Linked DNA regions of Xenopus tropicalis. The protein of the gene in region 1 purifies or fractionates together with the protein of each later gene. This does not show direct contact. Links are inferred from orthologs where the notes say so. Each region holds a gene or a part of one and is shown in the gene's direction. Other genes may lie near its edges. The genes, in order: dtl and cops5.

Region 1 (17,695 bases):
ACAGAAAGATCCCTTATCCAGAAAATCCCAGGCCCTGAGCATTCTGGATAACAGGTCCCATACCTGTATAATATATATTAGAATTAGAGTTGTGTATACATATGGCAATGCAGGATATGGGTGCAGTTTAAGCTATGGGAGCCAGCAGTTACTCAAAATACAATATGGAGGAGGGCTCAATTCTTATATCATAAAGTGAAGTCTATGGAGCTGTACGACTGGCAGGGCCATAAACATTTTTTGGAGGGCTGTATCCTGCATGTATACCCCCAGGGTTGTTCTTATATATCCACCCTTGTATGTAAAGGCAGCTGTCGCACTATATAATTAGGAAATGATTCATGATATACTTTATATGCACAGAGCAATCCTCATTCCATGTTGCATACCTTTGCTTAGTGCTTTTAAGGCACAGATAAAATACCAGTTTTATGAGCACCTAGGGGGCTGTTATTGCGCGCTATAGCCAGTGCTTATGTTAAATATTGAGGCAGTGCTCCTCTTCTACAAATAACAGTCAGTCATTAAACCATCATGTACCTCTTTCCCATTTACCATGCATAGTAAGGATTGAAGGAAAGGGTTAAATCTTATCAGCCTTTTTTTCTCTATGAAGGACTGTTTGCCAAATGTTTTTGAGACTAGGTCATACAGGAGTAAATAGACCTGCAAATTTTAGCTATTCTTTTGTATTTTGTACAATTTGCCTGTCTTCTTTTCGCCGATCAGCATTCTCAGAATATCTTTTATGACGTGCTGTTCCTTTAAGAGATTCTTGAAAGCGCATATGCATGTGTTAGTGCTTCGGGCAGTTCTTACTCAGAAATAGGCATCATTACTCATCCCTTTAGAGAGGGATCTCTGACTTGTTTGTTGGAGTGGGAGTGGTGCTTGCATTATACCCCAGACTGACTCCTGATGCCCTATGTTGTAGGTCTTTAACAGTTAACTGTAAACTGCCTATTTTAAAAAAATTAGCTCAAATATCATGTTTTCCTTCATGAGATATACACCAATGTGAAGGCTGGGTAGTAGCGTTCAAACTGCCTCTGCTGTATGGTGGGGTATGATTATCTGTTGATGCTGTAGCTCTAAGGGTGAAGACACACAGAGCTACTAGTAGCAGCTACTTGTCGTGGCTACTAAAAAAGACAATGCTGATCATTTACTGATAATTGTCTCTACATGGGTTTTAGCAGAGGCAATTCTCAGTATTGTCTATGGCAGGGTATGTTCTGGAGTTTAGTAGCCTTGATAAAAGAGTTACTAGTAGCTGCTATGTGTGGCTTCAGCCTAAGTGTAATGGATTAAGTTATGTAGCCTCTGGCTAGTACCCAATGCTATGGAGGGGAGACTGAACTGTTAGGCTACCCACATGACTCGCCTGTGAGCGTCTGTAGAAAGAGCAGAACATTAACAGCAATAATGTACAAACCAGCAGTTATACCATTAATTAGGCGACATAAACCTGTTGACCATGTTCAGTATGAGCCCAATAAATACAACAACTTTCTCCTGTCTCACTGGTTATTCAGCTCACATGACTCAAATGAAATGGTTTTATCACCTTTCCTAATGGGGATAAAGTTTAGCCAATGAAATAAGGATTCTGACTGTTTCTGATGCTGCAAAGAGCAGTATCACACAAACTTTTTTTGCTTCAAAATAACATTGTGCTTTTTACTGTCTGCTTATGATTTTCTTTTTATATATGTACTGCCTGCTTATATGTTTTATTTATTTGGCATGTGGATCCCAATCATCACCCAAGGGAGGGGTTTATCTTATTAATCACCCCTTCCGCTGTCCTGGGGTGTAATTTAGATGACCAGTTTCAGCTGAATATCTTCTATAAAAGGCTCTGTTTGGCAGTACACCTGGTTTTTATGCAACCAAAACATTCCTCCAAGCCAGGAATTAACCTTTTTAGTGCCATAGGACGTAGATTCTACGTCCTAGGTACCAAGGGACCAAAGTGCCATAGAACGTAGAATCTACGTCCTACAGCACTAACGGGTTTACAAGCGCTGCGCTCGCTTTTAAAGCAGCGCAGCGCTTGTAAAGCCTGCACAACCCCCTAGGCAACGAGCACAAGAGGTCATACTTACCGATCCGGGTCCCCCAGCGCCGCCGATCCGGGTCCTCAGCCAATGACAGCAGTGGACACGCATTGATGACGTGTCCACTGCTGTCCCTTTAATTGTCGCCGCCCCCGCCGTCGCCTCTTCACTCTGCTGCCACGTGAGACTGCTGGAGCCCCCCTGCTGCCTTCCTGCCAGATTGGTCGCCCTGATCGCCTGCCTGCATTGTGTAAGCTGAACTACAACTCTCTAACCACTGTTTATTTTGCTTATTTCTATCTCAACTGTCTAAAATTTTTTTTTTTTTTTTTTTTCTATTTCTTCTTCTATCTTTGTCATTATTACACTTTTGTACACATACACACTTATTTACAACTTTCCCAAGCACACACAGACACTTACACACACACTTACACTTACACTTTTTTTTTTTTTTTTTTTTTTTTTTCTTTCTTTCTTTTCTTTTCTTTCTTTCTTTGCTTTCTCTGGCAGTCTTTTTTTTTTACTAAAACTTTATTTCTGATCTTGCTCTATAATTATCTGATTTATTTGGTTGCATTTTAGTGTTTTTTTGCATTTTCATAATTGATTTCTGTTTTTGAATTATTCTATTGCACTGTAACTTTTGTATTGCTATTGGGTGCTGAATTTGCAGTGACGTTGGTGGATCCAGGGCTCTGACCACCGATTTCATTGCAATAATTGTTCTTCTGTTGGTTTGAGCGGTTTTTATTTGAATTTACTGATTTTATGGTGTTTTATCTTTGCATTGTTCTTTATTGTGTATTTAGTGCCCTAAAAAGGTTGCTTTTGCAGTGACATTGGTGGATCCAGGGCTCTGATCACCGATTTCATTGCAATTATTGTTCTTTGATTGCTTTTAGTGGTTTTATTCCATTTTAACTTCATTTGATTTCAGTTGTTCTAGAAAGGTCCAGAGGTGCTAAGATTGTTCTGGTAGTTTCTATTGCCAAGGGTTAGGCTGATGCCACACATGGCGTAGGGCTGATTTTTTCAGCAAGTGGAAAAACGCTTGCCGAAAATTCAGCCCTACGCCTGCTACTTGTGCCTGCACCCGAATCAATGGAATACGCTCGGGTGCAGGCACATGTAGCCGATATACGCATGAAAACGCGAGACTTTGCATTCTCACGCGTTTTCATGCGTATATCGGCTACATGTGCCTGCACCCGAGCGTATTCCATTCATTCGGGTGCAGGCAAAAAAAAAAGGGGTGCATAGAGTGCAGCCCCAATATTATGCATTTTCAGGTTTGGCGGCCATGTACTTATGTGCATATGGGGTATCGTTTTATTCAGGGGAACTTGCAGATTTATGGTTAGTAAGTTTTTGGTAGTTGCCATGGAGATTTTGGGGAGAAATCTAGGTTTGTATCTGGTTTTTCCTTGATTTCTGACCAAAGCGCTGACTTCTGCAAGGGACTGCGGCCACAATTTTCCATGTAGAAAGAGAAGAGTGGTGTCTCTGAATAGCTGAAGGTGTGCACTTTTCGTAAATATATAGATTGTGGGGGTTATTTCACAGGTAGGGGGGGTTAACACTGAAAAACTGCAGGTAGTGCACATAGAGCGCAGCCCCCAAAATTTCAACTGAAATTGCCCTTATGCATTGCCCCTGTTTTGGGGCATTTGGTGGCCACGTCTTTATGTGCACCCATACATATGGGGTATCGTTTTATTCAGGGGAACTTGCAAATTGAGGTTTAGTAAGTTTTTGGTAGTTGCCATGGAGATTTTGGGGAGAAATCTAGGTTTTTTATCTGGTTTTTCCTTGATTTCTGACCAATGCGCTGACTTCTGCAAGGGACTGCGGCCACAATTTTCCATGTAGAAAGAGAAGAGTGGTGTCTCTGAATAGCTGAAGGTGTGCACTTTTCGTAAATATATGATTGTGGGGGTTATTTCACAGGTAGGGGGGGTTAACACTGAAAACTGCAGGTAGAGCAAAGCCCCCCCTTATGCATTGCCCCTGTTTGGGGGCATTTGGTGGCCACGTCTTTATGTGCACCCATACATATGGGGTATCGTTTTATTCAGGGGAACTTGCAAATTGAGGTTTAGTAAGTTTTTGGTAGTTGCCATGGAGATTTTGGGGAGAAATCTAGGTTTTTTTATCTGGTTTTTCCTTGATTTCTGACCAAAATCTAGGTTTGTATCTGGTTTTTCCTTGATTTCTGACCAAAGCGCTGACTTCTGCAAGGGACTGCGGCCACAATTTTCCATGTAGAAAGAGAAGAGTGGTGTCTCTGAATAGCTGAAGGTGTGCACTTTTTGGAAATATATAGTTTGCGGGGGTTATTTCACAGGTATGGGGGTGTTTAGACTAAATAACTGCAGGTAGAGCAAAGCCCCCCGTTATGCATTGCCCCTGTTAGGGGGCATTTGGTGGCCACGTCTTTATGTGCACCCATACATATGGGGTATCGTTTTATTCAGGGGAACTTGCAAATTGAGGTTTAGTAAGTTTTTGGTAGTTGCCATGGAGATTTTGGGGAGAAATCTAGGTTTTTTTATCTGGTTTTTCCTTGATTTCTGACCAAAATCTAGGTTTGTATCTGGTTTTTCCTTGATTTCTGACCAAAGCGCTGACTTCTGCAAGGGACTGCGGCCACAATTTTCCATGTAGAAAGAGAAGAGTGGTGTCTCTGAATAGCTGAAGGTGTGCACTTTTCGTAAATATATAGATTGTGGGGGTTATTTCACAGGTAGGGGGGGTTAACACTGAAAAACTGCAGGTAGTGCACATAGAGCGCAACCCCCAAAATTTCAACTGAAATTGCCCTTATGCATTGCCCCTGTTTTGGGGCATTTGGTGGCCACGTCTTTATGTGCACCCATACATATGGGGTATCGTTTTATTCAGGGGAACTTGCAGATTAATGGTTAGTAAGTTTTTGGTAGTTGCCATGGAGATTTTGGGGAGAAATCTAGGTTTGTATCTGGTTTTTCCTTGATTTCTGACCAAAGCGCTGACTTCTGCAAGGGACTGTGGCCACAATTTTCCATGTAGAAAGAGAAGAGTGGTGTCTCTGAATAGCTGAAGGTGTGCACTTTTTGGAAATATATAGTTTGTGGGGGTTATTTCACAGGTATGGGGGTGTTTAGACTAAATAACTGCAGGTAGAGCACAGCCCCCCCCCTTATGCATTGCCCCTGTTTGGGGGCATTTGGTGGACACGTCTTTATGTGTACCCATACATATGGGGTATCGTTTTATTCAGGGGAACTTGCAGATTGATGTTTAGTAAGTTTTTGGTAGTTGCCATGGAGATTTTGGGGAGAAATCTAGGTTTGTATCTGGTTTTTCCTTGATTTCTGAACGATGCGCTTACTTCTGCAAGGGACTGCGGCCACAATTTTCCATGTAGAAAGAGAAGAGTGGTGTCTCTGAATAGCTGAAGGTGTGCACTTTTTGGAAATATATAGTTTGCGGGGGTTATTTTACAGGTAGGGGGGGTTAACACTGAAAAACTGCAGGAAGTGCACATAGAGCGCAGCCCCCAAAATTTCAACTGAAATTGCCCTTATGCATTGCCCCTGTTTTGGGGCATTTGGTGGCCACGTCTTTATGTGTACCCATACATATGGGGTATCGTTTTATTCAGGGGAACTTGCAGATTGATGTTTAGTAAGTTTTTGGTAGTTGCCATGGAGATTTTGGGGAGAAATCTAGGTTTGTGTCTGTTTTTTCCTTGATTTCTGACCAATGCGCTGACTTCTGCAAGGGACTGCGGCCACAATTTTCCATGTAGAAAGAGGAGAGTGGTGTCTCTGAATAGCTGAAGGTGTGCACTTTTCAGAAATATATAGTTTGTGGGGGTTATTTTACAGGTAGGGGGGGTTAACACTGAAAAACTGCAGGAAGTGCACATAGAGCGCAGCCCCCAAAATTTCAACTGAAATTGCCCTTATGCATTGCCCCTGTTTTGGGGCATTTGGTGGCCACGTCTTTATGTGTACCCATACATATGGGGTATCGTTTTATTCAGGGGAACTTGCAGATTGATGTTTAGTAAGTTTTTGGTAGTTGCCATGGAGATTTTGGGGAGAAATCTAGGTTTGTATCTGGTTTTTCCTTGATTTCTGACCAATGCGCTGACTTCTGCAAGGGACTGCGGCCACAATTTTCCATGTAGAAAGAGGAGAGTGGTGTCTCTGAATAGCTGAAGGTGTACACTTTTCAGAAATATATAGTTTGTGGGGGTTATTTTACAGGTAGGGGGGGTTAACACTGAAAAACTGCAGGAAGTGCACATAGAGCGCAGCCCCCAAAATATCAACTGAAATTGCCCTTATGCATTGCCCCTGTTTTGGGGCATTTGGTGGCCACGTCTTTATGTGCACCCATACATATGGGGTATTGTTTTATTCAGGGGAACTTGCAGATTGATGTTTAGTAAGTTTTTGGTAGTTGCCATGGAGATTTTGGGGAGAAATCTAGGTTTTTTATCAGTTTTTTCCTCGATTTCTGACCAAAGCGCTGACTTCTGCAAGGGACTGCGGCCACAATTTTCTATGTAGAAAGAGAAGAGTGGTGTCTCTGAATAGCTGAAGGTGTGCACTTTTCAGAAATATATAGTTTGTGGGGGTTATTTCACAAGTAGGGGGGGTTAACACTGAAAAACTGCAGGTAGTGCACATAGAGCACAGCACCCACATTTTTAGCTGTAATTGCCCTTGTGCATTGCCCCTGCTTTGGATTGTTTGGTGCCCATGTCTTTATGTGCACCCATACATATGGGGCATCATTTTATTCAGTAGAAATTTGTCTTTCAAATTTGCCTTTGTTAGAAAATTTTTATGAGATTTTTTTTTGTCAAATCCACATTTGATCATGCGTCCAAGTTTACGTTTTAGAAAAAAAAAAAAATGTCAAAAAAACTTCCAAATTTCACAATGCACTGACAAAAGGTATTTGGCTTTTTAGTGAAAACTACATTGCACCTAGAAACCTGAAGGTCTGTAGTTTCTAAAGATACCAAACATGAGGGGATATTTTAGATTTACATATAAGTTATGCTGCATCAACTGTTACAAGCGCTTTTCCGCTTTGTTCTGGTGTGATATTGTACTAAGTATTGCTTTAGTTTGGGGGTTACTTCTGGACAGGAACTGTGGGGTACCACCACATATTTGGTATCGTTGGACTTGGGAGTATCAGGGCTTTTACAAACAACAAAAAAAAGTTTGTAAAATTAACTTTTCTATGGAAAAAAAACTCAAAATATACAGAAATTTTTCATAATTTTTTTTTTTTTTTACATAATTCACCCAAAATACACATCATATCTCCAGAAAAGTTATAAAATTTGGTATGTATGTCGAAGCCCAATTAGTGACGAAAAAAACGATATATAATTTCCCTAGTTTCATGGAGGTTTTCCTACCAAAAAACATTGTTAAAGTGAATGAGTACAAAATGCTTAAAAAACGTCTGGCACTGGGGGGAACCGAAATGACGAATTCGGCTGGCACTTAAAGGGTTAAACATAAGCACCTCCTGGCGACTGGGAGCAACATCCAAGGGATTGGGGAGCAACCGGTTACGAACAAGCCACTGGTTGGGGATCACTGCATTAGGGGGTCCCCATACACCCCTGTACAACTGTAGCCTCATAATTACTTTATCATAAGGATGGGTTTAAGAATGTCTAGCAAATGTGTCTTTACCCCAGATTGGTTTCTATAAAATTGTTATAGATCTGTACCATTGTGATCGCAATTCATGATATGTAGCTAAGCTTCCTGTTTTGATGCAGACATCTGTTCTTTTAGCTTTTGTGGTTCACTAGCAATTGGTTAGTTCTGAACCCTTGCAACTGCAGAGTTCTTCATAGTGAGCAATCCAACACCGCTTTGTCTTCCATTCTCATAATACCATTCTATGCTGTTATTTTGAGTGCAGGCATGATATCAGTTACCCAGAAACCTGAAATATAAGTGCCATTCCCCATTGGTTTAAGCAACTCGTGACAAATTGATAACTAAGCCGGCATAGATTCATGTCTGATAGCAAAGCCATCCTATTGATTTATTTCTAGTTGTTCTCAGCAGCCTTAAGGTATGGCATTAATGATAGACTCTTATCCAGCATTCCTGGGTAACAAATCCCATAATTATATACTCTTTATATGCTGTTCCATGGTGTGGTAGTTATACAATGCTTTGCCCATGGGTAGATTGATGAAGTTCTGAAGAAATACTGTCATTTCATAATTATAACATTTCAAAGACGTTTAAAACATCTGTTTTGTAACAGACACAAATTTATTTATGCAACGTTGTTATATTTTTTAAAGCATTCTGTTAGATGTGCATGTCTGTTCCTTCCAAAGGGAAATGGAACATCAGCACCTTTGTTTTGCATGACTGTCTGTTCCGGCCTGTATTTGTTTGTGAAGAGTTTCTCTTTTGTTTCAGGTGTCTGATCCCAAGGTTCCCCCTGTCACCCTGACGGGACATTGTCAAGAAGTCACCTCTGTAGCTTGGTGCCAGTCAGACTTTACAAAGGTTTGTTTTTGCCTGATTTTATCATAAAGGGTGAGGGTAAACTGGGTGCAGTGTTTGTGTGGGTCGAGTTTTACTCCCAACCCGAGCCGTACCAAGCCTGGCTGGTCCCCTCTATAGACCCAACCTGCCCACTGATGTCACAAAAGGGAAGGGGGGGCACGTCTATAAAAAAGAGAGCTTGGAACCGGAAAGTGTAAGGTTGCCCGCGACCTGAAAATCTTGTGCAGAGGCCAAACTCGTCCAGCAATAGCAAAAAAAATGCAGTAGCACACTGTAAATTTAAACCCTGCAAAAATGTGTCTATTTGCCCAAGTACATACAAGCAAAGCAATGTTTCGGGCCCCTCCAGGCCGTTTCTCAAGGGTCCCACAGGTATTGGGCCGGCCAGCACTTCACTACTTGGTAGCGGTGTTAACCTGCGCCCAGGGGTTAACTCAAAGGTCCGGCGTTACCCACTGAATTATAAGTTTTTTTGTTGTGTGTCCGTAAAGCTAGAAATCATATGGCAGGCAACAAAACCCCTTGAATCGCCTAATGTGCCATTATCCTAAATAATGGTTGACGGTTTCCTTTGAAATGACTAAAAAGCATTGTGATGGCTGATGGCAAAGTCTCACACTAGGCTGTTACCAATTATTGGTGAGGGAGCCCACAAAACCCACAAGATCCCACTTGCACAGTGACAGAACTCTGCCCATGTTCACTTTTGTTGGCTCCTGGTCTGACTGTCATTCCCTGCCTCTCACACAGATTGCCACATGCTCTGATGACAACACCGTGAGAGTATGGAGACTGAAGAGAAGTAGCGAGGACTCTGCGCAGTCGGATAAAACCGAAACTGTTGGTTGGGCCTGCCAAAAGAAATGTGTACCGCCTTCTATGGGTAAGGTTCTCATTATGTAACTGACTAGGTGTTCGGTGCTGCCACTAGTACCCAATTATACTATCGAATGGCAATGTAATAGGAACATAGATTTCATCATACATCTCAGTTCTGAACAAACATTCCAGATTCTTAAGGTATCTTTTACATTCTGCTTTTAGCACATGTATTAGCTACACCTATGAGCCACATAATTGGCCATAAATATATGTGGGGAAGATTTGCTTGACCTTAAGCATTCATGAGCCAAAAAAATACTGCCAGTTTGAGCCCTTGGGGCCTTGGATGGAGGCCTTGATAGCAGTGGAAGTGAAAAGGGTCTACAATCCTTTATTTGTATTGGGAAACCACCTGTATAGCAATTTAGTCATTTGGCCAGTGGGTAAAGTATGGGTTGGAAACCCTGAATTTAGATACAGATAAGATATTAATCAGGAGATTGCACCTAATACAGGGGCCAGCTGTCTGTAATGAGTACTTGGGGGCTCCTGCTGGTGACCAGAATAGTGATGGGAATGTGTGACATGTCGCTTTCTGACCCCAAATGCAATTTTTTTAGGCTTCCTTGCTGCTGTATTAATGAAAGGGGTAGTTTTCCTTTAAATTAACTTTTAGTATGATATAGATGTTGATATTCTGAATTTGCAATTGGTCTTTTTTTTTTTATTTACTATGGTTTTTGAGTTATTTAGCTTTGTTCAGCAGCTCTCCAGTTTGGTTTTTCAGCAGACATCTGGTAGCTAGGGCCTTATTTACCTTAGAAACCAGGCCATGGTTTGAGTGAGAGACAGGAATATGAATAGTAGAGGGCCTGCCTAGAAAGGTGGTAATGAGAAGTAACAATAAGATTGTAGGCTCACAGGGCAGTAGTTTTTGGCTGCTGGACCCATTTGAAAGCTGGAAAGATGTAAAAGAGGAAGGCAAATAATTCAACAACTATAGAAAATAAATGATGAAGACCACCAGAAGTTTACGTAAGTGCCTTATCTCTTTTCATTTGTTCCTTCAGCCGCAAACCTCTGTACGCCTGGGAAGCCTTCAATGATACCAAGCAGTTCCCTGATGTCTTCCCCAACACCAGCCACGTGTGCCCCAAGTTACACGGGAGACCTGCCAATGCCCTCCAGCACTCCTGTATCTGCCTTGTTGCCAATTCCTAAGCTGCAGACTCCACAAAGGCTGAATGGCGAGGGTTTAGGAGCATCTCCCAAACAGACGTCCTCTTCAAAAATTTCAATTAAGGACTGGATCACCCGCACTCCCAAGTCATCCACACGGGCTGATACAAAGACACCCTCTCCCCGCAAAGCCTTCACCCCCGTGGAGCAGTACCCAAGCGTATCAAGTACAAGGGTACAGATGCCCTATGAGAAGAGGGCCAAGAGGCGCCTGGAAACCAGCAGCGAAGATGTGGAACATGTCTGCCTTGACCATTGCAACTGTGTGATGGAGTTGGAGCCTGGGCTGAAGAAAGCAAAACTGGACTTGTGTTCTTTCAGTGAGAAAGAGAGAGACGGCAGCGATGATAAATGCCTGAGGCTTTCAGACTTGAGTAGGGGATTTGACCAAGAATTCTCTCCCGGTCCGTCAACATCCTTCCTTATTAATGGTACAGTTAACCCCCCTCTAAGTCCTCTGTCTGAGTTGAAAAGTGACTTGCGAGACAAAGAAAACAGTTCCCCAGAGAAAAACTGGCTCTCTGCTTTAGGGCACAAATTCAAGTCGGACAAGTCTTCCCCTCAGAATAAAGCTGCCAGCAGCCCCTCCTCTAGGAACAGCACCTCTAAAAAACATCCGACAAGGAATGCTCCCAATTCACCAGTATCTGTAAGTATCATTCTGCTATACAGTGCATTAAATTATCCTTAGGGGCTGCACAGAATTGTCTTATGGGGCTGATACGCTTTGTCTACTTATGCTTTGGTTTATAGATCAGTCGGCAAGATTAAATAAGGCAACGTGATTTGGTTTCCAGACCCTATGGTTGGTCAAATCAGGCTGATCTGATTGGCTCGGGCTGCTGATCTGCTCACATAGAGGGATCTGCCTGATCGTTATTTGAGCCGGGCCCAACCAGATGCTGCTGGAGAAGCAATTGTTTTAGCCATTTCGTTTAAAATTGGCTAAGCTGACAGCTCTTCTGCACCCCAGTAATGGGAAATCTGCAAATAAACCATGTAAATGATAAAACTACAAAGCCGTCCAACTATATAGCCTCAATAGTTTGTAAGGTGGGCTGTTTGCTGATGGCATGGAAGCTGGGACCTAGGGGCATGCAAAATATACAGATGGGATTGTATGGATCGTGTGGGTAGGGCATGGTAACACCATTTGTCAGATACTAATTAATAAATAACAGGGCACTTTAGTTTTAAAAAAAGTTTGTTTGCTTAGAAACTTCGATGTTTTGACCCACCAAAAAACAAGAGGGGTCTTCATCAGGGCACAACAAAATGCATGCCTGCTTTTTGTTATTCTTGTGACAAAGAACCCCCACTTGTTTGTGGAGGTTGAAACTTGTTGGGTTTCCTATGTTAAACTAATTAAATACAAATTGAATTGCCCTGCTATTAGTTTCACATTGGGGAACTCACAAGTGACCCCTACACTAATGGGGTTATGTAGTAAAGGGAGTAAGTTTGTCCAGAAGCAGTAAACTGTAACAACCAATAAGCAGGTACCATTTACTGCCTAAAAGCAAGCATCTTATTGGTCGCTTTGGGTTACTGCTCCTGGGCATTTATTGCCTTGTATTACATACGGACATTTGTGTGCACCACCAATAAATATTTTGTTCTGATACGAAGGTGGTTATTTAATATATGGTGCAAAATTTGCTACATTTATTGCCTATAGCAACCAATCAGCAAGTAGCATTTTCTGCTACATTAAATATATTTTTCTATATATTTTCCAGTATATAAATAAATTGCAGTTTGCTGAATGTGATGCCGTTTTTGCTAAGCATCAATGGTTTCCCTCTCTTCTGTCATATAGGTACCAACGACCCCCGGCTCAATGAGAAAAATCTGCACCTACTTCTTTAAGAAATCCGAGTAAGAGTGAGCCTGTATGTTCCGCGGCGTTCCGTTTCACACAAGGATGTACATGTTGCTGCTTCGTTATTTGCTCCATAGAGAATGTTTTATATATTTAACATTTTAGCACTTTTTTCCATGACATAGGACACTAAATGTGGGTTTTTACAATCAATTATTTTTAGTTTACTAATCGTCCAAGGGAACTGCCTTTAACATCCCTTACATAGGGAGATCTGCCCAGGAGCGAATGTTAACAATGTGTTTGGGGAAGGGTGGCAAAAAATCTCTGTAAATAGTTTTGATATTTTAATACTTTATGTGTATGTATAGTTGAGTCATATTGTAAAAATATAACTTTTTAAATACAGATTATAATTCGGTAGTTCTGTGTATTTAATGTCCGTAGAGTCTATTCTATCATGTAATATTGTGCTTTAACATTGGGTGTCTTCGCTAAATCTTTATTAAAGAGAATATCGCTGACTGATCTGAACTTCCACCCTGCAGGTAAGGCCATTTTAGATGGGGGTTAAAGTTTCATATTTAGGTAGTAGGAATATAGAGAGCAGGCTAAGGTAGTGCTGGGTATTTACCTGACCAGCCAGTTGACTGTTGGAGTTGGTATCTGGTGTAGTGGTGTTGGGAAAGCAGAATGGGCTTTGTGCCACTGTATACCAGGGGTGCCCAACATTAATTACCTGTAAATAAACATTCAAATGTAGAAAGTGTTGGAGAGCCACAAAAGCTATTGCTGGGGGGTAGGCTCTGTTTGGCAATACACATTGGTCTTTATCAGGAATGGACTGATTGATATTGGACTGGTATTTCAAGGCCCAAACAGCCCCCCCTACCAGCCCAATAAAGTCAATGTCTATTGCATCTTGCAGCAGTGTCTGGGGAATTTGGCTCTGCTAGTGCAGAAATCACTATTGATTGAGGTGCAAAGAGGTGAGGGAGGGGTGGCATCCCATAGACTGCCTCAGGGCACCACTAGGGGTCAGAATGCCCCTGCCTCTGGTATTTGCCACAAATTGCCAGTCTGGGCCTGGTCCTTATGCATCCAAAACTTGCCACCATGGCAGCAGCTAAGAAATGAGCACTTGCTTTGATGCTACTGGCGGTGGGGAGCAACTAATTATTGCTGATCACTGCTCTGTACTGACAGGGTTAAAGGGCAAATAAAGTAACAATTCACTGGCCGGTAACCCTCCGTGAATGAGATTGCTAACATTGGACTCCAGCCCAGCACCAATTTTACTGAATTTCCCACTGGTTCCTTGCAGTAGTCCAAGACCAGTGTAAGCAACAACATATTTTACTATACAGCACATGTACTGGATCCGGACCCCGACAATGGATACGTGGGAACTATGTGTAGTAGATATGCTTAGTGTGGGGGACCTATGCTTTGCTTTTGCCGTCCCAGGGTCCAGCATTAGCAATAATCACTGGAAGATTCCTAACTAATTTCCCCCCCCCCCATCCAAACACAGCTTAAGGTTTTTGAAAAAACATAATTTTGAGCAACTTTGCATTATACATCAATGAAATATGCAGCCATCTCATGGTTTGTATTATACTATGGTTTGGAACAGTTCCCTAAGCCCCACCCCCTGTTCCCCTGCTGATCTGGCTGACTGACTACATTGTGAAATAAAATGTAACTGGTTGCTTCTCCTCAGCCTGCCTGCCTCCTCCCAATCCCACAATCCCCTGTCCATGTGATGTAAATAAGGAAAGGAACATCACAGTGCAATGCATTGTGGGTTATGTAGTTCCTGCATGCTGTCTGTAAGCTGTGGAGAAGTTGTTACAATTTGTAACATCAGTGTTTTAGTCCCTCCTCCCCTGCCAGGATCACAAATGATGCAGAAAGAAAATAACTGTTTTGCAGCTGGATTTCAGCATATAAAAATGGTATTTATTCCTACTTTTTCAAGGAACAGATTAGTGATGGGTATACTAGGTTTCTGTGTTGTGTGGGGCTATTCAACAAATTTCCCCTTTAAGCTTATTTGTAGGTTGAGTGATCTGTGCCAGTAGTGTAAGCCATGGCAGCCTGGCACCTATTTGTTCCCCAGATGGTTACAGTTTGCAGGATTTCTCTTTATTCTAATACACTGTTAGCTTTTTTTAATTGGCTCCAAGCCTTCCAGTGCAAGTTGTATTGTGCAATTAACACCGAGCTGAACCTGCTATCAGTCCCGGCACTTGAAATGTGAAAGCTAAAAATATATTGTACAATTCAGGGAAATGTTTAATTTGCAACTTCAACGTTCAACCACAGAATTCCTGCAATCATCTCTTCTTTCTTCATCTTATAATACTTTCCACAAAGCCTTTTGCCCAAGGAGTTGATATCACTCCAACTTGCAGCGCAGCAGTAAAGTGTGACTGAAGTTTATCAGAGCACAGGTCACATGGCTGTGGCACCCTGGGAAATGAAGAATATGGCTAGCCCCATGTGACATTTCAAAATTAAAAAAAATCTGCTTTTATAAAACAGATTACAATGCAGGATTCTGCTGGAGAAGCTCTATTAACTGATGGGTTTTGGGGGGGAAAAAAAAATATATTATGTTTATAATACCAGTACCCACCCTAGGTTGGGCCGGCTGGGCCAATTGGCAACCCTACTGCTCCCTTATTTCCCCTTTACATCTTTCTGCCTTTGCTACTTACACCACTCGTATGTTCTCTTCTTTCCGCATACTCATTGGCTACTGGCGCTGACAAGAAGCTCTTCCTCCCCACTTTTTACCTCTCAAAAGAACCCCCACTTGCCCTTGTGTCACTTTGGAGATCCCTATGGCTCAAGCTTTGGTCGGCTGACCTTTCTTCAAAGAAAATGATTCAGGAGCTAATGTGGCCTGAGGGAAGTATCTCTATGAGGGGCATTGGCACCAACGTTCCCTCTAATTTTTTATAGGCTGTGTGCGCAAAAAATATCATCCGTGCGCATTTTAAAGCAAGATTAAATTTTTGTGCGCTACAGAATGTTTGTTGGAGTTCAGTTATGGGCATTTTTGCGCAGGTCTTTCAGTTTGTCTAAATCAAGTTACAAAAACACGATGTTATTTCAGTTATCAATAACACTGTTTATTCAAACAAGTTTCATTGTTAAATGCTATACCTATTAATAACGTGTAATTATATTTTATAGGTAGCATTTCGAAACTAAGAGTAATTTAGTTTTCACAGTTTTTCTCTGCGATCTTTCATATTTATCCAGTCTGAATAAATTCTGTCAAGATCTATCGTGCCTCCATTTTGAAGGTTACTCTTAAAGCGGACCTGTCACCTTAAGAAATAATTTCAAATTGTTTTCTGTTGTGTTTGGCAAGCAAAATAAACTTTACTTACACTGTATAAATTATTTTAATTTTATTTTCTTCATCCTTGGAATTCACAGCAATTGCAGCAAGCAGGCAGGGGCCATTTTGTGGACACTGTTATCAAAGCAGGCATTGCATCCTGCCAAAATCTTGTTTCTGTGCCAGTATGGGGGGACCTGATGCCCATGTCCATGCACTGGTTACACAATTACATGGTGAGGAGGGAGGGGGAATGTTAGGGGCGCAGCAACATCTAAGAAGTTCTGAATTGAAAGTGAAAGTAACTGTCTGCCCCACCTCTATGCCTAAGGCATAGAGGCGGGGCAGGCATTATATGATTGACAGCTGGGATTTTAAAATGCTTTTATAATGGGCATGGATGTGGTAATAAAAAAATTATTTTGGGTTTCATGTTTAATTTGAAAAGGACTTTTATTATACAACTTTTTATGTCTGGGTGACAGGTCCACTTTAATACGCATCAGCATTTCCAAATGTTCCAAACTGTAAACGGTTCCTTTGCTTCGTTTTCAGATTGTTCATTAAACTAAAACCACGCTCACAATCTGCACTCGAAGCTAAGAATGTGGCACCAATGTCCATCAATTTTGCTAATTCTGCAAATTGATCATTCTGAAATGAAAATTCGCTGGGGCGAAAACTGCCTATAAGGATTTACACATTTAGAAATCAGGACAGGACTTTGTCTTTCCCCCAACCTTACCCTCACCTAGCATTCCTTCAGTGAAGGACCTTCACTATACATTGTGTGCCTATGCCACATCTCCAACTACGGTTGCCCCCTGGCTGGTAAAAATGAAGCCTGATGCCAAAGTTATTAATCCCCCATTGATTTGTTTGCTGCTGAGCCAGCACTACCAAAGCAGAATCTCCATGTTAGCTGGGATGGCAGTGTAACTGTGCTGTACATACTTGTATACACCTACCTGGTCCTCATGACGTGCCATCCAGCACTTCCCACAGCGCAATGCCTTTGGAAATAACTCAGACGTCTCCTCGGTCTCCCGCCCTCGTTACCCCGGCAACAGGTACTTCTGGCTCCTGTCCGGTGCTGAACGTGCTCCTTGCGCGCACCCCCCCCCCCAGACGTGGGCAAGTACGCGCGCAGGTACGCACGGACACTCTACACATTGCACCGGACAGGAGCCAGAAGTACCTGTTGCCGGGGTAACGAGGGCGGGAGACCGAGGAGACGTCTGAGTTATTTCCAAAGGCAAAAATCATTTTAGGCAAAAATTTAATTTTTGTGCGCGCTATTTTAATTTGTGTGCGCGGGTTCGGAAAGTCGTGTGCGCGCGCACACGCGCACAGCTTAGAGGGAACAGTGATTGGCACCACTTGTCAATGTTATTACCGGCCAGGGTGGGAATCTGTGATTTTGGCAGGGGTGGAGCAAGATGTCGCTGGACCGGATTCAAGGAGAAATTGGAAGCAAAGTGGGTTAGAAAGGAAGTGGGACGGGGGTTAATTGGACACGTTATTACAAAATGACTGACTTGCTTTCTCCGTCCCCATTAAGCATATGAATGGAGCTCGGTTAGGAATTCCTGTACATTAATGTAACATTCCAGGCACAGTGTGTACATACAAATGGAGGAATAAAGCTCACCTTCTGGGTTAATTATTTCACAGCAATAAAAGGCAGTTTCACACATAAACATTCTCAGCACTTGTGGGTTTAAATGGAAATCTCTGCAATGTAATATGGAGATCAGCTGGGTTTGTTACTCATTAAAAGGTGCCGGCGCAGGTCACCGCAGCTCTGTGCCGAGTATCACTTTCCAGAGAGACCACAACGGGCCGC
Region 2 (16,378 bases), on another chromosome or scaffold:
CTTTGCTGCTGCGCTGCAAGTTGGAGTGATATCACCCTCCCCAGCAGCCAGTCAGCAGAACAATGGGAAGGGAGCAAGATAGCAGCTCTCAGTAGGTATCAGAATAGCACTCAATAGTAATAAATCCAGCTTGGATTGGGATGGGAGTAGGAGAAACAATAGGTTACCTGAAAGCAGTTCTAATGTGTAGTGCTGGCTCCTTTTGAAAGCTCAGACTCGGGCACAATGCACTGAGATGGTGCCTACACACCAATATTACAACTAAGAAAATAAAATAAATTTGTTGGTTCAAGAATAGAATTTTAAATGGTTGAGTGAATTATTTGTAAACAGTGTAATTTAGAAATAAAAAGTATACCATAAAAATCATGAAAGTATACCTTTAAGAATATGATTTCTGTTTGCTTGGACATACCAATCTTTTGAAAAAGATTCTTAAACAACTTCTAGGTCCTTGCTTGAACTATAAGTAAACTCCAGGTTCATATCTGGTTTATATAATTAAGTTTATAAACAGCTCATTGCTTACTGTATATCCTTCCAAACTCTAATCACGTCATCTGTGTAGCGCCATCTTAGGGAGACACTCCCTAAGCTCCCATGGGTATTCCGTTCCCAGTAACCCAAGAAAGGGTTTATGTAGCTGAGAGTAAATTGTTTCCCCCTGGCCTAAAAATAATGCCTAATGGCTGCACAACATCATGTTTAATGGATGTATACAGAGTTGCCAATAACATCCTCTTGCCATTGTATTGTTTCCTTTCCTTTAATTTGTATTGAATCCTGCAAATACGAGAGTAGGAGTGATAGGCTTTTTATTTGGCCAGAGAAGTGTAGTTCAGCCTATGTGTAACAAGCCCTTCCCTCTAGGTAGAAACACGGGAGGAGTGTTTTACACAGGGTAGCTTCCCTATCACAGTTCGAGCATTTTCTAATACACTGCTAATAAGAGGTAATTCTAAAGCAGTGTCTCCATTTCTGTAGCAGTGTTTATATGTATGTACAAGCTTAAACCGGCAACCTTAGTAGGCAGGAAGATATTCTGGCAAAAATAAAAGGTATTGCTAATTTGTAGCCCCAGTCTGTTAAATGTATTTATGATGTCAAGCATTTTCTTCGCTAAGCACTTTGGAGTGGAATATGTGTGTTAATATTGGGTCATAACATACTACTATACTACATTTTCTCTTCCTATAATTGTTTTTCCTTATTTTGCACGTTTCCCTTTTGCCTACTCAGAAGGGGGCATTCCAGTCTTAGAATTTGGATACGCATTGTACAATACAAATGTAATATTATCAGAAAAACATTTTTGCTGTTCTTGGTGACTATATTTAGTCTATATGTCCACTTTAATCATTCACTTTAATCATTCAGGAAATAATTATAAAGATATTCATGGCATTGTTGATTATGTATTATACTGTTGACAACATCCAGCATTAACCCAGCTAGTGGAGGTGCTGTATGTTGTAGCCTGGAAACAGCCTGATTGGCAGCACTTGTGCATGTATTCCTGTTATGGACTATATTGTCAGTTTTAGCCCACTTTAGGGTGTTCTCCACTGTGTGGCTATATAAGTTAAACTCTTGCTACACAGCCCACTTTGTCAATTAAACCAAACATCAGTTTCTTGTAACACAAGAATTTTTTGTATCATTTAAGGTATTATGCCTTGGAGGTTACATATTTCAAATCATCTTTGGACCGAAAACTTCTTGAGCTGTTGTGGAATAAATATTGGGTGAATACACTGAGTTCCTCTAGCCTTCTGACAGTAAGTAAGCCACCTGCCTGATTATAACTCTCTCTCTCTAAAATGTTTTCTCATTTTTGCAAATGGCTGTTATAGTAGATCTTATCTGGCTGTCTCCAAGTAAGCTACACCATAAATAGATCACATGCTCATTTTAGATTTAAAGCAGAAGGAAAGGTAAAAGTCACTGGGGGGTGCCAAATGTTAGACACCCCCCAGTGATTGTAATCACATACCTGATACCCCCGGCTGATGCTCCTGTTAGGAGAAAACTGCACCAGCCAACAGTTAATGCAAGTGATCCTTTTCCTTCTCCTCTGACAAGATCCCGGACCCCCAGACCCGCACATGCACAGTTAAGCAAAAAGCTGTTTCGGGTTTTTTTTTGTTGTTAGTTCAGCTATTCATTCCATTGCAAATGCTCGAAGAAGGAAGAGAATCTATTCGTTGCCTACACCCCGGAGGTGCAGTTTTCTCCTAACAGGAGCACCAGCCGGGGGTTTCAGATAAGCAATTACAATAATTGGGGGGTGCCTAACATTTTGGCACCCTCAGTGATTGTAATGTTCCTTCTCCTTTAATAAGGGATGATTCTGAAACAAAGTGTCTCCATTTCTGTGTCAGTGTTTATACACATGTACAAACTGGCTGGCAAAATATAGGCAGTGCAATTTTTTTGCCCAAGCCTGTGATGATGTTAACACAGGTTATACATTTTTTGTTCACTGCAACGTGGGGTACTTGCCCCCCCCCCTTTGCCAACCAAGGCTTTGTAATTTGAAGTATCGCAGATATGTTAGCTCTGATACAAGAGTTCGAATCATAAAAACAGATCTTTCGAGACCTGGGTGGTTTTGATTTTGGAGTGGGGGTACTTAGTAATGGTAACTAAAAGTGTGTGTGTCAGTCCCAAAATAATAGATGGAGTAGCTGTAGAGAGAGTCCGCACTCACAGGTCTTAAGAAAATATAGAGGTTTTATTCAAATCAACATCTAACGTTTCGGCTGCATCCACAGCCTTTCTCAAAGACAATGTGAAACAAACAATGGTGCACTGAAAAAAACGAATTTGGCGCCAAACAATGACGTCATAGGTGTGAATACATTAGCATACAGTGTGAAAAAAACGCTATCAAAACACATTGAATCAACAAAAAATGTTAAGATAATATGGATTAGGCATAGAACACAAACAAAAGGACTGTCAGGGGAAAGGAAAAGTGGGTGTGTATTAAAAAAGCCCGCATATGTATCTAGTGCTGAACTGCAACTCACACATGTCGCAAAGACATCCCCAAGTTATAAGTTTATAAATGTACAAAATCGAACTGGCCCAAGGAATAAGAAATAATGAGGGACAGTAGGGCAAATATACATCAAGGAGTTGCTGAAAATGAGTAACTAACATGACTGTTCTGTGCAGCATGTATTGCCTGACATGACTGTCAAATAATGCATTATATGGTGTGCCTTATGGGGAATCGGTCCGCTTATTTGTAGTAAAGCTAGGACAAGGGGAATAGAAGAGGCAGATGGGAAGAAAAGTAGTCAAAGAGAAAGATGTAGAATAGTAACTGAGGAGAGACAAAGTAGAGAGGACAGAGTGAGGTAATGAGAAAGGAAAGATGTCGGTGCGATGATAAAGGGCGTCACACTGCCCGAAACATGTTGTGTTTTTTGGTCTGAAATAAATAGCATTTTAGCAGAAATCTGCTTTATGGTGCTCTCCTCTATATTTGGATTGTATTGAATGGCTCAGCGGTGTGCCTTGCGAGGATTGATGCATCAAGCCTGATCTAAGGGCTGTGCGGTTGAATACCTATTTGTTGTCGGTGCGATGGTATGGCCGTGGGAGGGGACTCTGCACTCCATACAGAGCAAAAGCAACGGCACCGATTAGTGCGTTCGCTAGCGTGGAAAGCCGATCAGTAGTACTCGACCATCACCAAGAACATTATAGACGCGACTCTCCTTTGCAGGTGCTGTCAGGTGGCGAAGGGCTCAATACTATGGGAGACAGACATTGATGTAAAAGGCAGCGGGGTTACTGGTATGCCAGAGTAGGGAGACTAAAAGGTATCATGTCATTCTCAACGTATCTTGGACGCAGGTACCAAAGGAGGGAAAATTTCTCAAAAAGGATAAATATTGTGGCAGAATCAAGCCCAGGTTGTAACGCACGGATGGTGCGATCATACGTCACGAGGAACCTCTATTGTTAAGGTCCATTGGACAGTATTACGCACACTATTGCACCGTGTGTGTTGTATAGGGCATCAACAATAAAGTGTTTATAAAAAACAGTGTCATATGTAATTCTTACACAGTTTGTCACGGATGGTGCACCCATACGCACAAAGAGACCCCATATGTAATGGGTCCTGTAAGCAGTACTTAGCACACTATTACACCGTGTGTAGAAGTAAATAAGGCATGTGGTCATATCACTGTAGGAAAGATGGTTCATAGTGGTGGGACAGTTGATCGGCAGCGTGAGTGGAGAAAAATAGGCGACAGAAAAAAGAAGAAATACAGGAGAGAAGGGAAAAAGGAGGAAAAGCAAGAGGACAAGAAGGAAGTGGAGACAAAGGGAAAAGGGAGTAGCCTATAGTCCTAGATACCGGGCTGCGGGTGACACACGGGGAGGGGAAAACTGCAAAAGTCAGAAGATACAGATTAAAACAGAGAACAATCTCAGAAGAGAAAAGTGGCCAAAAAGGCAAATGTCAACTATGTATCAACAAATGTTGCAATGAGGTCACAGGATATAACAGAGAGATCATAGTAGCATAACATATATAGTATGTAACAATATCAAACGGTCATTTCAAGTAAAAGGAAGAATATGAAACAAGTTCATTGAGGCCGTAGGGACTCACAGTATTCAATTTATGCATCCATTTTAGTTCTCTTTGTAGTAACAAGTTCTCACGGTTACCACCGCAGACAGGAGGAGGAATATGATCAATGATCATGCATCTCATACTAGCCAGAGAGTGTTTATGAGCAAGGAAATGCGCTGCAACTGGGGTGTCAGCCTTATCATCAGAGAGTGCAGTCCGGATTGCGGAACGATGATTCGCCATACGATCCCGGAATGTTGTGATGGTTTTACCAACATAAAAAAGGCCGCAGGGGCATTTGATGAAGTACACAATATATTTTGAGGTACAGGTGACCCTATGTTGTATAGAGATGTTCCGACCGGAATGTGGATGATTGAAAGTCGGACCTGTCAACATGGAACTGCAGGTGATGCAATTAGGACAACTATAGCAACCCAGTTTGGTGGAAGGTAGCCAGGAAGTTGTATGAGACATCTGATAGCAATGTGTAGGGTCCGTTTTTACCAGTAGGTCCCTAAGACTGCTGCCTCTTTTGTATGCAATGCGAGGTGGAGATCTGAAAATTGGAGGGAGTGTCCGATCTTTTTCGAGAACTGACCAATGGTAAAGGAAGGCATTGATCAGTGGCTTCTTATCAGGGGTAAAGGTAGTGATGAAAGTGAGACGATCATCCTGCTTGGTGGGGGTGCGTGGTTTGTTAGAATGAAGAACTTGTGCTTGCGTGTGCGAGAGGGCTCTCTCTCTGCTGTGCTCCAATTCGCCCGAAGGATATCCACGTTGCAGGAAACGAGATTTCAGATCGTCTGTCTGTTGAAGTAGTGTGGTAGGATCAGAGTTGTTTCTCACCATTCGCATCATCTGTGAGTATGGGATGCTTTTCAAAACATGTGGAGGATGACAGGATGCGTGATGCAATAAAGTGTTGCGATCTGTGGGTTTCCTATATGTAGAAGTAGTTAAGTGTGTCCCCTGTTTTTTTCACACTGTATGCTAATGTATTCACACCTATGACGTCATTGTTTGGCGCCAAATTCGTTTTTTTCAGTGCACCATTGTTTGTTTCACATTGTCTTTGAGAAAGGCTGTGGATGCAGCCGAAACGTTAGATGTTGATTTGAATAAAACCTCTATATTTTCTTAAGACCTCTCTCTACAGCTACTCCATCTATTATATATATATATATATATATATATATATATAACAAAGATAAATCATTTCAGAACTTTTTCCATCTTTAATATGACCTATAAACTGTACCACTCAATTGAAAAACAAACTGAAATCTTTTAGGTGGAGGGAAGGAAAATAAAAAAAAATAAAATAATGCGGTTGCATAAGTGTGCACACCCTTAAACTGTTAAATAAGGCCCCAATTCCAGCTGAAGAAAAACAGCCCCAAAGCATGATGCTGCCACCACCATGCTTCACTGTGGGTATGGTGTTCTTTTGGTGATGTGCAGTATTGTTTTTGCGCCAAACATATTTTTTGGAATTATGGCCAAAAAGTTAAAGTTCAACCTTGGATGTTTTTCTTCGTAAGAAAAGGCTTTCGTCTTGCCACTCTACCCCATAGCCCAGACATATGAAGAATATGGGAGATTGTTGTCACATGTACCACACAGCCAGTACTTGCCAGATATTCCTGCAGCTCCTTTAATGTTGCTGTAGGCCTCTTGGTAGCCTCCCTGACCAATTTTCTTCTCGTCTTTTCATCAATTTTGGAGGGATGTCCAGTCCTTGGTAATGTTGTGGTGACTGTCTTCACTGTGTTCCATGGTATATCTAATGCCTTGGAAATTCTTTTGTACCCCTCTCCTGACTGATATATTTTAACAATGAGATCCCTCTGATGCTTTGGAAGCTCTCTGTGGACCATGGCTTTTGCTGTGGGATGTGACTAAAAAAATGTCAGGAAAGAACAACTAGAGCTGCTGAACTTTATTTGGGGTTAATCAGAGGCACTTTAAATGATGGCAGGTGTATGCTGACTCCTATTTAACATGATTTTGAATGTGATTGCTTAATTCTGAACACAGCTACATCCCCAGTTAGAAGAGGGCGTGCACACTTATGCAACCACATTATTATAGTTTTTTTGGTTTTCTTCCCTCCACCTAAAAGATTTCAGTTAGTTTTTCAATTGAGTGGTACAGTTTATAGGTCACATTAAAGGTGGAAAAAGTTCTGAAATGATTTATCTTTGTCTCATTTTAGTACAGCACAGGAACCTGACATTTTACCAGGGCTGTGTAGGCTTTTTATATCTATATCTGTATATTAGTGTGTGTGTGTGTGTGACAGCCCCCCCCCTCCTCCCCCCACAGCACCACATACATAAATAATTGTTGCAGCATATGAGTAAAGAAGCGGTTCTTCATTCTTGCTTCATTATTATTTTAAATAGATCTGCAGAACAGTTAGGGCTTTGAGATATAAGGCAGTCTGCTAAAAAGTAATAGTTCAGCAACACCTTGAAGCCTACAGGTTGCTTTATAAATTAAAATTGTACATACATAAATAAATCTTGTAACTAGAAGTGTAATGTTAAACTTCCTGCAAAGAAATTGGATATGGAATTTACTTCTGACAAGGTGTGGAAGCTTGTATTCTTGTAATATTTGTTTGTGTCTTTAGGATCTTTTAATTGTTTCCCTTTTATTTGCAGAACGCGGATTACACAACCGGACAGGTATTTGATTTATCGGAGAAATTAGAGCAGTCTGAAGCCCAGCTTGGTCGAGGGAGTTTCATGCTTGGATTAGAAACTCATGACCGAAAATCTGAGGATAAACTGGCAAAAGCAACAAGGGACAGGTAATGTATCAGAGCTGTTTTTGTTTTGCCTGGAAGGATTCGTTTTTAGATGCAAGAACTAAGCAAATAAAAAAGTTTCTTAATGTTAAAAACACAAACCATAGAAAGTTAGTTGCAAGCCATTCTTAGTTACTGATAAACTTCAAATAGTTTTATGCAAACATTCTTTTTCTTTGTGTTGTTTTCCAGCTGCAAGACAACCATTGAAGCCATCCATGGATTGATGTCACAAGTGATTAAAGATAAATTGTTCAACCAGATCAATACTGCCTAATGTTTCATTTTGCAAAGATTCAAGATTGGCTGTCTGTCTTGTTCAAATAAGTTGCTTCTTTTATGCAGAGGCCAGAGATTTTCATCTGGGTTGCACTTTTTGTTTGTTTAAACCTATGGAAAGCAAAGGACATTTATTGTGACATTCTTGAAATATTCCCATTTATTGGATTGGAGCTCTCTAAGTAAATACAATATTTTAAACTGTCTTATGTTTTGTTTTTATTCTTGTTTCCTCTGTTGCACTTTGTTTCATGAGAAATGTTCCATGGCTGATTGTAAAGTTCACCCTTTGAGCACTTCATAGACCTCTTTAATCTGGAAACATAGTGAGGTTCATTACAAATATATAGCCAAGACCACATGGATGATTAATTTGATTCAGTATCACTGACAATCATCGGTCTAACTAGAGAATGTATATGGAGACCTGAAGAGCGCTTCTGAAGACATTGTTTTGAGATTTTGATTTTACCCTATCCATTTAGGCACAAGGTTTATCTGTGCATGAATATTCACTCTGTGTGGGTTCTCTGTTTGGTTATGTGTGTTTAAAGGAACAGTAACATCAAAAAATTAAAGTGTTTTAAAGTAATTAAAATATAATGTGCTGTTTGCTACAGAAAAGCTACTATATAAATAAGCTGCTGTGTAGCCATGGGGGCAGCCATTCAAGCTGGAAAAAAGGAGAAAAGGCACAGGTTACATAGCAGATAACTAGTAGATAAGCTCCATATAATGGGGGGTTATCTGCTAAGTAACCTGTGCCTTTTCTCCTACTATAGTAGTCTTTATAAGGCAAACACACCAGTTCTAGCAATGCAGGGCAACAGTACATTATATTGTAATTACTTTTATACACTTTCATTTTTTGGTGTTACTGTTCCTTTAAGCAGCTTGTGAGGACCAATGGGAGGAAGGTGCATTACCAGAGAATGGAAAATATTTGATCACTTAAGATGTATTAAAATATAACTGACTGCATGATTGTACGTGTTTTGGAGCAGTATGGATATGCAGTGCTGGATGTTCAGAAGTGCTCATAACAGGTACAAATGTAGTACAGAGGCTGCTACTCTGCAGAGCTCGGCAGGTGAGTAGGTAAAGCAGAGACAGATAAATGTTCTATCCTTTCAGTTATTGCAGAACTACAACTACTGATACCCCTTCATCTTTTGTGCTTAGGACAATTCTAAGGGGCAGATTTATCAAAATATGAGAAAAGCTCACCACAGAAAAATTCACCCACTTTGTATTCGTTCCTATGGGATTTATAAAAGCATATTTATCAAAAGGCAAACTCTAACTTTCACCTATTGATAAATACACTTCTAAAAATCCCATTGGAATGAATAGAATGTGGGTGAAGCTTTCTGTGGTGAGCTCTTATCTCATATTTTGATAAATCTGCCCCTAAGAGTAGTTCTGTTGCATCTGAATATTGGAGCTTGCCTAACACTAGGGTAGAAGTTGACTCTCCGATCCAAACAGTAACCCATTCACTTGGGATGTTGGCCCATAAGAGCATAACTTAATGAGCTATGCCAGTGCTCCCCGTATCAGCAATCAAAAAGCAAGCCACAACAGAATTGAAAGCTTTGAAAAGCTTTGAAAGCCTTTTTTTTCATGGCTGTGTCCTAAGAGCACCTAACACAATGGTTGCTTTTTTGAGTTTAAGCTCCAGCTTATGGACTGGGCTTCCCTTTCATGTACTACTTTGGTCACAGCCCCTTTAGCTTGTGAAATTGGTACACTTATGGGTGTTGCTGTATCAGTTATGAATCTGTTTTTCGAACAATATTAAGGACAGCAAATATATTCACCCCAAATCAGTGTAGAACCTGGAAATACCTGCCACTGGTTGGGATTCCTTCTCCTCTAATCCACTCTCCCCCCTCACTTGGGAATTTACTTTGGCTGTTGCCTAGTGAGCATGCTCAGTTCTTCTTTACCTGGTTACTAAACATTCCTTCAAGTCTAGCAGCCAGTGAAATTATAGTATTGCTGGTTTCCATTAAAATTCAACTCTGGCAGTGCCCTCTGCTGGAGGAGTATGTTTTTTCTCCTAACCTCCTGTCCTCAGCTCAATTTAACCATCACAGTGCTCATTCCAATCAGAACTTTTTATCAAAGTAAGTTCTGCCTGTGCAAGCTTGCATTCTTTGTTGCATGAACTTGCTGTTTGCATATAAATATTTGCTGTTTGCAGTAAATATCACTGATGCGTCGGAGGGGAAAATGGCTGCCGGTTGAAAGCTGCTAGCTGTATTAATGAGCTGGCAAACAGAGGGGGGGTATATGCAGTTCGGGTTGGGGAGATTTGACTAATTTATAAACATAGTAGGAATATATATTCAACAACCTAGACAGCTTGTTAGTTCTTTTCACAGCCCGCCTATCCTATTGCTCTACCATTCTAAGCCAGTAATACATCACCATTCATTTTTTTGTTGCTCTCAATTTTCTTAAACACAACAAAACCACTTTTTTTTTTTTTGTGAGTGGACAGAACACCTTCACACTGTTGGAGGCAGGATTCATTTTAAATGGCTAGGTCCTACCCTCTATCTGGCAGAGGCAAAGCTGGGCCATGTGTACTGACATGTCGGGAGTAGAAGAAATGGAATTTCCGACAAGGTTAGTGAAATTCTCTTTTTCTTCTATAGGTAATAGATGGCCTTGTGTCTACTGTAAGGACTTACTGGTAAATAAAGCATTAGAGAGATTTTTATATAATTCTCTTATATTTATACATAGTTATTTTATCTCCCCTTAAAGGAACAGTAACACCAAAAAATGAAAGTGTATAAAAATAACTAAAATATAATGTGCTGCTGCCCTGCACTGGTAAAAGTTGTGTGTTTACTTCAGAAAGTCTACTATAATTTATATAAATAAGCTGCTGTGTAGTATGGGGGCAGCCATTCAAAGGAGAAAAGGCACAGGCACATATCAGATAACAGATAAAACACCACTGTATTCTACAGAACTTATCTGTTATCTGCTATGTAACCTGTGCCTTTTCTCCTTTTTTCCAGCTTGAATGGCTGCCCCTGTGGCTACACAGCAGCTTATTATATAAATTATAGTAGAGTTACTGTATCAAACACACCAGTTTTACCAGTGCAGGGCAACAGTGCATTATATTTTTATTACTTTAAAGCTCTTTCATTTTTTGGTGTTACTGTTCCTTTAAGCACCACTTCTCCAGTGTAAATGGCAGTCCCAAGAGACATTCCATTCCCTTTACTAGCTTAGTTGCCCTTCTTTGGACCCTCTCTATTTTATTAATAGCATCTTCATAAAAAGCTATTAAAGCTTTGACATGACCTCTCCTTCATCAAGCCTGCTGATTATTTGATTATTACCTGCAATGCTATATTCCAACTTAATCATTTAATGTGATTCCTTACTATTGAAGAATGAAATATCTATTTTTTAAACCTGTTTAATTGCGTATTTTTGGGACAGGAAAAAAACGTAATTGAAAAATTGGTAAAATAAAAGCAACAAAAGCAACATGAGCATAATTTTTTTTTCTAAACCTTTGATCAAGTTTCGGCAGCTTATCGGCCCATGTAGGGGCAGAAATGAGGGGCCTGCCCGACCGATATCTGGCCTGAAATTAGCCAGATATTGATCGGCCAGGTTAGAAAATTCATTCAGATCAGGGACCGCATCGGCTCATTGATGTGGTCCCCGAACCGACTGCCCCATTGCCGCCAAACGATCAAATTATTTTTTTTTTACCTACACGCTCCCCCGTATTGTCAACCTGTAGGTGGGGATATCGGGTGAAGATCCGATCGCTTGCCGATCTCGCCGAGTGAGCAAATCTCTATGTATGGGGACCTTTACTTGCTTAGTATCTATCAGTAGTCTCATTGATAAACTAAGACTATTAGAGGTATTACAAACTAGTCTAACATATGTTCACCCATGTAGATTACCCGAGGTGAGTACTGTGAATGCCGATGTTTACAGAATGTGCAAACATTTAGCTTGGAATGTGTTATGAAAAGACAAACAAGGCTCATGGCAGGCATAGGATGGTGGCAGGCAAATAGGCTGATGCCACACGAAAAAACGCTTGCTGTAAATATCACCATACGCTCTTACCTGTGCATGCACCTGAACAAATGAGACATGCCATACGCTCAGTGCAGCATTAGCCTTAAAGGAGAAGGAGAGGGTTTAAAACCCATACATAGATAGGCCACATGTACCTGTAGCTGATAGCTACATGTTTTCACCTTTTTTGCAGGTACTTTTAGAGCACTCGCTGTTGCATCTATTGCAGCCGCCATGTTGGATATTTAAATTAGTCCAACATGGCGCCGCGCAAGTTAATGCGCATGCGCAAACCTTCTCCCTCCCCTAGACACGAGCGCAACCTACTCTACCTGAGCCGCTCGAGATGGAAAGTGTGATCACAGCATAAGTTAAATGCACATGCTCTTACTCAGTAGCTGGTCTTAGTCTCGGCGCAGGAGTGATGCATTCTGGGAATCTTCTTTACACAGCTCAGCGGTTTTTCTTCCTGTTTGGCTTCTGATAATCTGAACAGGCGAAATATGGGGAGACTTAAGGGGACTATTGAGACAACTGAAGGTATGCCTGCAGCTTGAGATTAACTCTTTATAAGCCTTTCCTTCTCCTTTAAGGCTGATGCCACACACAGCGTATGGCGTATATTTCCGGCAAGCGAAAAAAACGCTTGCCGAAAATATCGCCATAAGCTCTTACCTGTGTTTGCACCTGAACGAATAAGATATGCTTGGGTGCAGGCACATGTGGCCGAAATACGCATAAAAACGTGAGACTTTGCATTCTCTCGCGTTTTTATGTGGATATCGGCTACATGCGCCTGCACCCAAGCATATCGCATTCGTTCCGGTGCAGGCACAAGTAGCAGACATATGTTGCGTATGGTGCATATACGCCATACGCTCAGAAGCAGAAAGCGTCGAGCTGCGAAGCACACTTTAGCACCAAGAAAAAGAGAAGCACACTGCCATCCAGAGGGACAAGGAAGGCAGTAGCAACGATTAATAGAGGCACTGACAAAGGCAAACACAAAGCGGGTTGTAAAAGTAGCAGAAAGTCTTGCTGACTGCACACATCACTGCAGTGTTATACAAGGGGTGGGACACGAGCAGCCAATAAGCACTTGGCAGTGAAGGAGTAAATCAGCTTCCTTAACAATGATATTGGCCACAGAAAAGTGCCAAAGGCAAGGAGATCGCCCTAAAGTCCTGTTTAAGGAGGTTTAGGCCGATGACACACTGGCGTAGTCCCAGCAAGCTGAAAAACGCTTGCTGAGAAAACGCCCTGCTACTCTACACTTACCCTACCTTATGCCTGCACCCTAATGAATTAAATACGCTTGGGTGCAGGCACGTGTAGCTGATATTTGCCAAAAAACACGAGACTTCGCATCTACGGCCTCATTCATTCGGGCACAGGTAGGAGCGTATGACGGTATTTTCGGCAAGCGATTTTTGGCTTGCCGAAAATATACGCATACGCTGTGTGTGGCATCAGCCTAAGGATGCTGGAAATGAAGACAGAGCACCAACAAATCAGAAGTAAGCAGAAGACAATGCACAACCTTATACTTCTAAGCAAGGGGCACCTACGTTCCAGGACAGATACTACAGGAGCTGGGTAAGTTAAACTCTTCAATACCATGTCTAAAAATATCTTACTTACCTGCTGTGCAGAGATTAAAAGGTGTGAACAACAGAGGATTACATTTTTAAACAATACAGGGGGTTTACAGGCTGAATCTGAGGTGTGAGCAATGCAGGGGGCCAGTTAATAACAGTACTGATACCATTTAAAGCTTACACAAGAGTAAGCCATCAAAGCAGCCAGACAGGTGGGAGGCCACACAGATGGGGGCCGCGGGCCGCATGCTGCCAGTTAGACAGCACTGCTCTAGAGAAAGCTGCATTTGGCAATGAAGGAGGAGGAAAAACAGAGTGGCTGCAGCAAAGACTGGGGGGATGAGGAAACGCATAACAGAAGCCCCACAGAAAAAGTGCTGGTTGGATGCCGGGGATATAGTGGATGTAAATAAGCATGTGGTACAAAACATTAGTGCTAACAAAATTAACAAAGTGTTAATTATATCATAAATTAATCATCTTTTGGAATTCTAAACAGTGATATTCACCCATGGCAATGTGCTATACAGCACTGGAATAAATTAAAAAGTGCTAGTGACAATATATTAATATCAAGATGGAGGTTAACCAAATAACTCTCGAAAACCAAGAACTTTTGTTTTAAGAAATTCTCAGAGTGTCTATTGATGACTCTGATATTGTTCTAATTGGCTACAACTTCCTTATAGCCAAACCTACACATCTAACCCAAATGAAAAAGCAATTACAATCCAAATACATAGGGCCCTTGTCCATCTAGCAGTTGACCTGTGCTATATGCATACTTCATACTGCACATTTTGCACAACCCCAGAATTATTTTAGAAGAATTACACTAAGGGGCACATTTACTAACCCACGAACGGGCCGAATGCGTCCGATTGCGGTTTTTTTCGTAATGATCGGTATTTTGCGATTTTTTTGGAAATTATCGCGACTTTTTCGTTACCAATACGATTTTTGCGAAAAAACGCGAGTTTTTCGTAGCCATTCCGAAAGTTGCGCAAAATCTGGCGATTTTTTCGTAGCGTTAAAATTTGCGCGAAAAGTTTTAACGCTACGAACAAGGTGCGACTTTTCGCGCAAGTTTTAACGCTACGAAAAAATCGCCAGATTTTGCGCAACTTTCGGAATGGCTACGAAAAACTCGCGTTTTTTAGCGCAAGTCGTAATGGCTACGAAAAACTCGCGTTTTTTCGCGCAAGTCGTATTGGTAACGAAAAAGTCGCGATAATTTCCGAAAAGTCGTAAAGGCGCCGAAAAAATACAAAAAAGTCGCAAAATGTTCGTTTTCCAATCGGAATTTTTCCAATTCGGATTCGAATTTGTGTCTTAGTAAATCAGCCCCTAAGGGGCATATTTATTAAAGTGCGGTAAAAACGGCGTTATAACACAGAAAATTACGCTGCCGTTCGCGGCGTAAAATTCGGCGTACTTACGTACTGGCGGTTATTTCTGTGTTGCGTAAAACCGCGTATATACGGCGTTCTTCTTACGCCGATGACCGCGAAAGTGTGAATGTAATTTAGCTCATGCGCGTTCTATTACTTCCGTGTTTGTAATGTTGCACGTTTTTCTTCTATTAAATACCCACAGAGTTGGCGCTCACAAAACATTCGTGTGTATTAAAATTAATCAATCAATCTTTATTAAAAATATAACATTAATCCGTGTATCAAAATCAAAAGAGTGCATAAAATAACATTAGTTCATTCCTATATATGATTACACATTGGTTAAAAAGTAGATGGGATTAAAAAAAAATAATTGGCAATATCTACAGAAATTCATTAATCAATACAATTATATAAATATTCATTGATCAGTGTAAATATACCCAAACAGTTTAGTATAAATTAAGAACTATAATAGAGATCTATGATTCATACTAGTAGAGGCTAAAAGATAATTTATATAGCATGATCGCTAGCTTAAAAATAATCAAACCATCTATTATGCTGAGGGTCTCACTCTGCCCGGACTGGGTTATACAATCAGCCGTTATATTAAAAGGCTGCAACTAGATAGGAGAGGCATCGTGGGAAACCAGACTTCAAAAATATTTTCCCAGCAAATAATACCACAATACCGGCAACGCCCCGCACTACAAATGGGTAAAGTATACCAAGGGGACCTCACGGTGGTTAAGCTAACAACAAACCTGATACAGTTATCCCGGCCGGGAACTTACTTCAGGCACAGAGAGAGGAGCGCACTATCTTTACTTGCCGCTTCGGGCCGATTCGGCAGTGACGTCACCGAAGCTCAGTTCCTTCAGTACGGATCCTCTCCTGTGTCAAAAAGGTCGACGCGTTTCGCGCTCCTGCGCTTTTTCAAAGACTGCTTAACCTCCGGAGGTCCTCCCTCTCTCATTTATACTTCCCCCCTCTCTTACATTGGTCTATTACATTAACCCTTTCCTGAATGGGGTTCTGATATAGAATTAAGGCAAACTCAGTTACAAAGCACATTAGCCCTTTCCTGAACCAGAATCCCATATGAGGCTGAGAATAATTAATTAAAAACAAAGGTTCCATTCTTTCATTAGACAAATCCAAACTTATTATAAAATAAGGGAAGGAATATCACTGCATATATATTAAAACAAGTACTTCTCCTTTCCCCTGACTATATTTTGATATCGTACTCCCCATATTGGTTGTAAATATACTATAGTCTTAATTTCCACATAAATAAATATGGATGGAAAATCACTATATATGTATATTTAAACACTCACTTCTCCTTTCCTTAGCTAACTGTATATTACAATAAAGAACTCCCCATACTTGTTAGGGATATATAATAATATTAATTTCCGTACAAAGCTTCTCATAAGCAGATATCCCTCCAATATCGCACCTAATGACCCAGAAAGGCTTTGATATTCCGGTTCTCATTGAACCCTATTGGAATAAATGTGTTCAAGGAGAACATCCAAAAGGACTCCCTTCTGTCAAGTGCTGCTATTCTATCACCTCCCCTGTAATCCATCTCTACTTGTTCTATAGCCCATGC

What was found.
Region 2: the proteins of dtl (region 1) and cops5 purify together in Homo sapiens (affinity purification with mass spectrometry; 6 studies listed by BioGRID and IntAct, with this or other methods). This does not show direct contact. The link is inferred for Xenopus tropicalis from reciprocal best matches to the Homo sapiens genes DTL and COPS5.

What each region holds. Positions count from the first base shown.
Region 1 is NC_030681.2:14,717,595-14,735,289, reverse strand, and holds the end of dtl (denticleless protein homolog), read left to right. Parts: intron 1-8,521; coding exon 8,522-8,611; intron 8,612-9,361; coding exon 9,362-9,494; intron 9,495-10,503; coding exon 10,504-11,321; intron 11,322-12,491; coding exon 12,492-12,554; 3' UTR 12,555-12,917; downstream 12,918-17,695. UniProt on the Homo sapiens protein: Substrate-specific adapter of a DCX (DDB1-CUL4-X-box) E3 ubiquitin-protein ligase complex required for cell cycle control, DNA damage response and translesion DNA synthesis.
Region 2 is NC_030682.2:119,197,408-119,213,785, reverse strand, and holds the end of cops5 (COP9 signalosome complex subunit 5), read left to right. Parts: intron 1-1,666; coding exon 1,667-1,778; intron 1,779-7,269; coding exon 7,270-7,418; intron 7,419-7,607; coding exon 7,608-7,692; 3' UTR 7,693-7,899; downstream 7,900-16,378. UniProt on the Homo sapiens protein: Probable protease subunit of the COP9 signalosome complex (CSN), a complex involved in various cellular and developmental processes.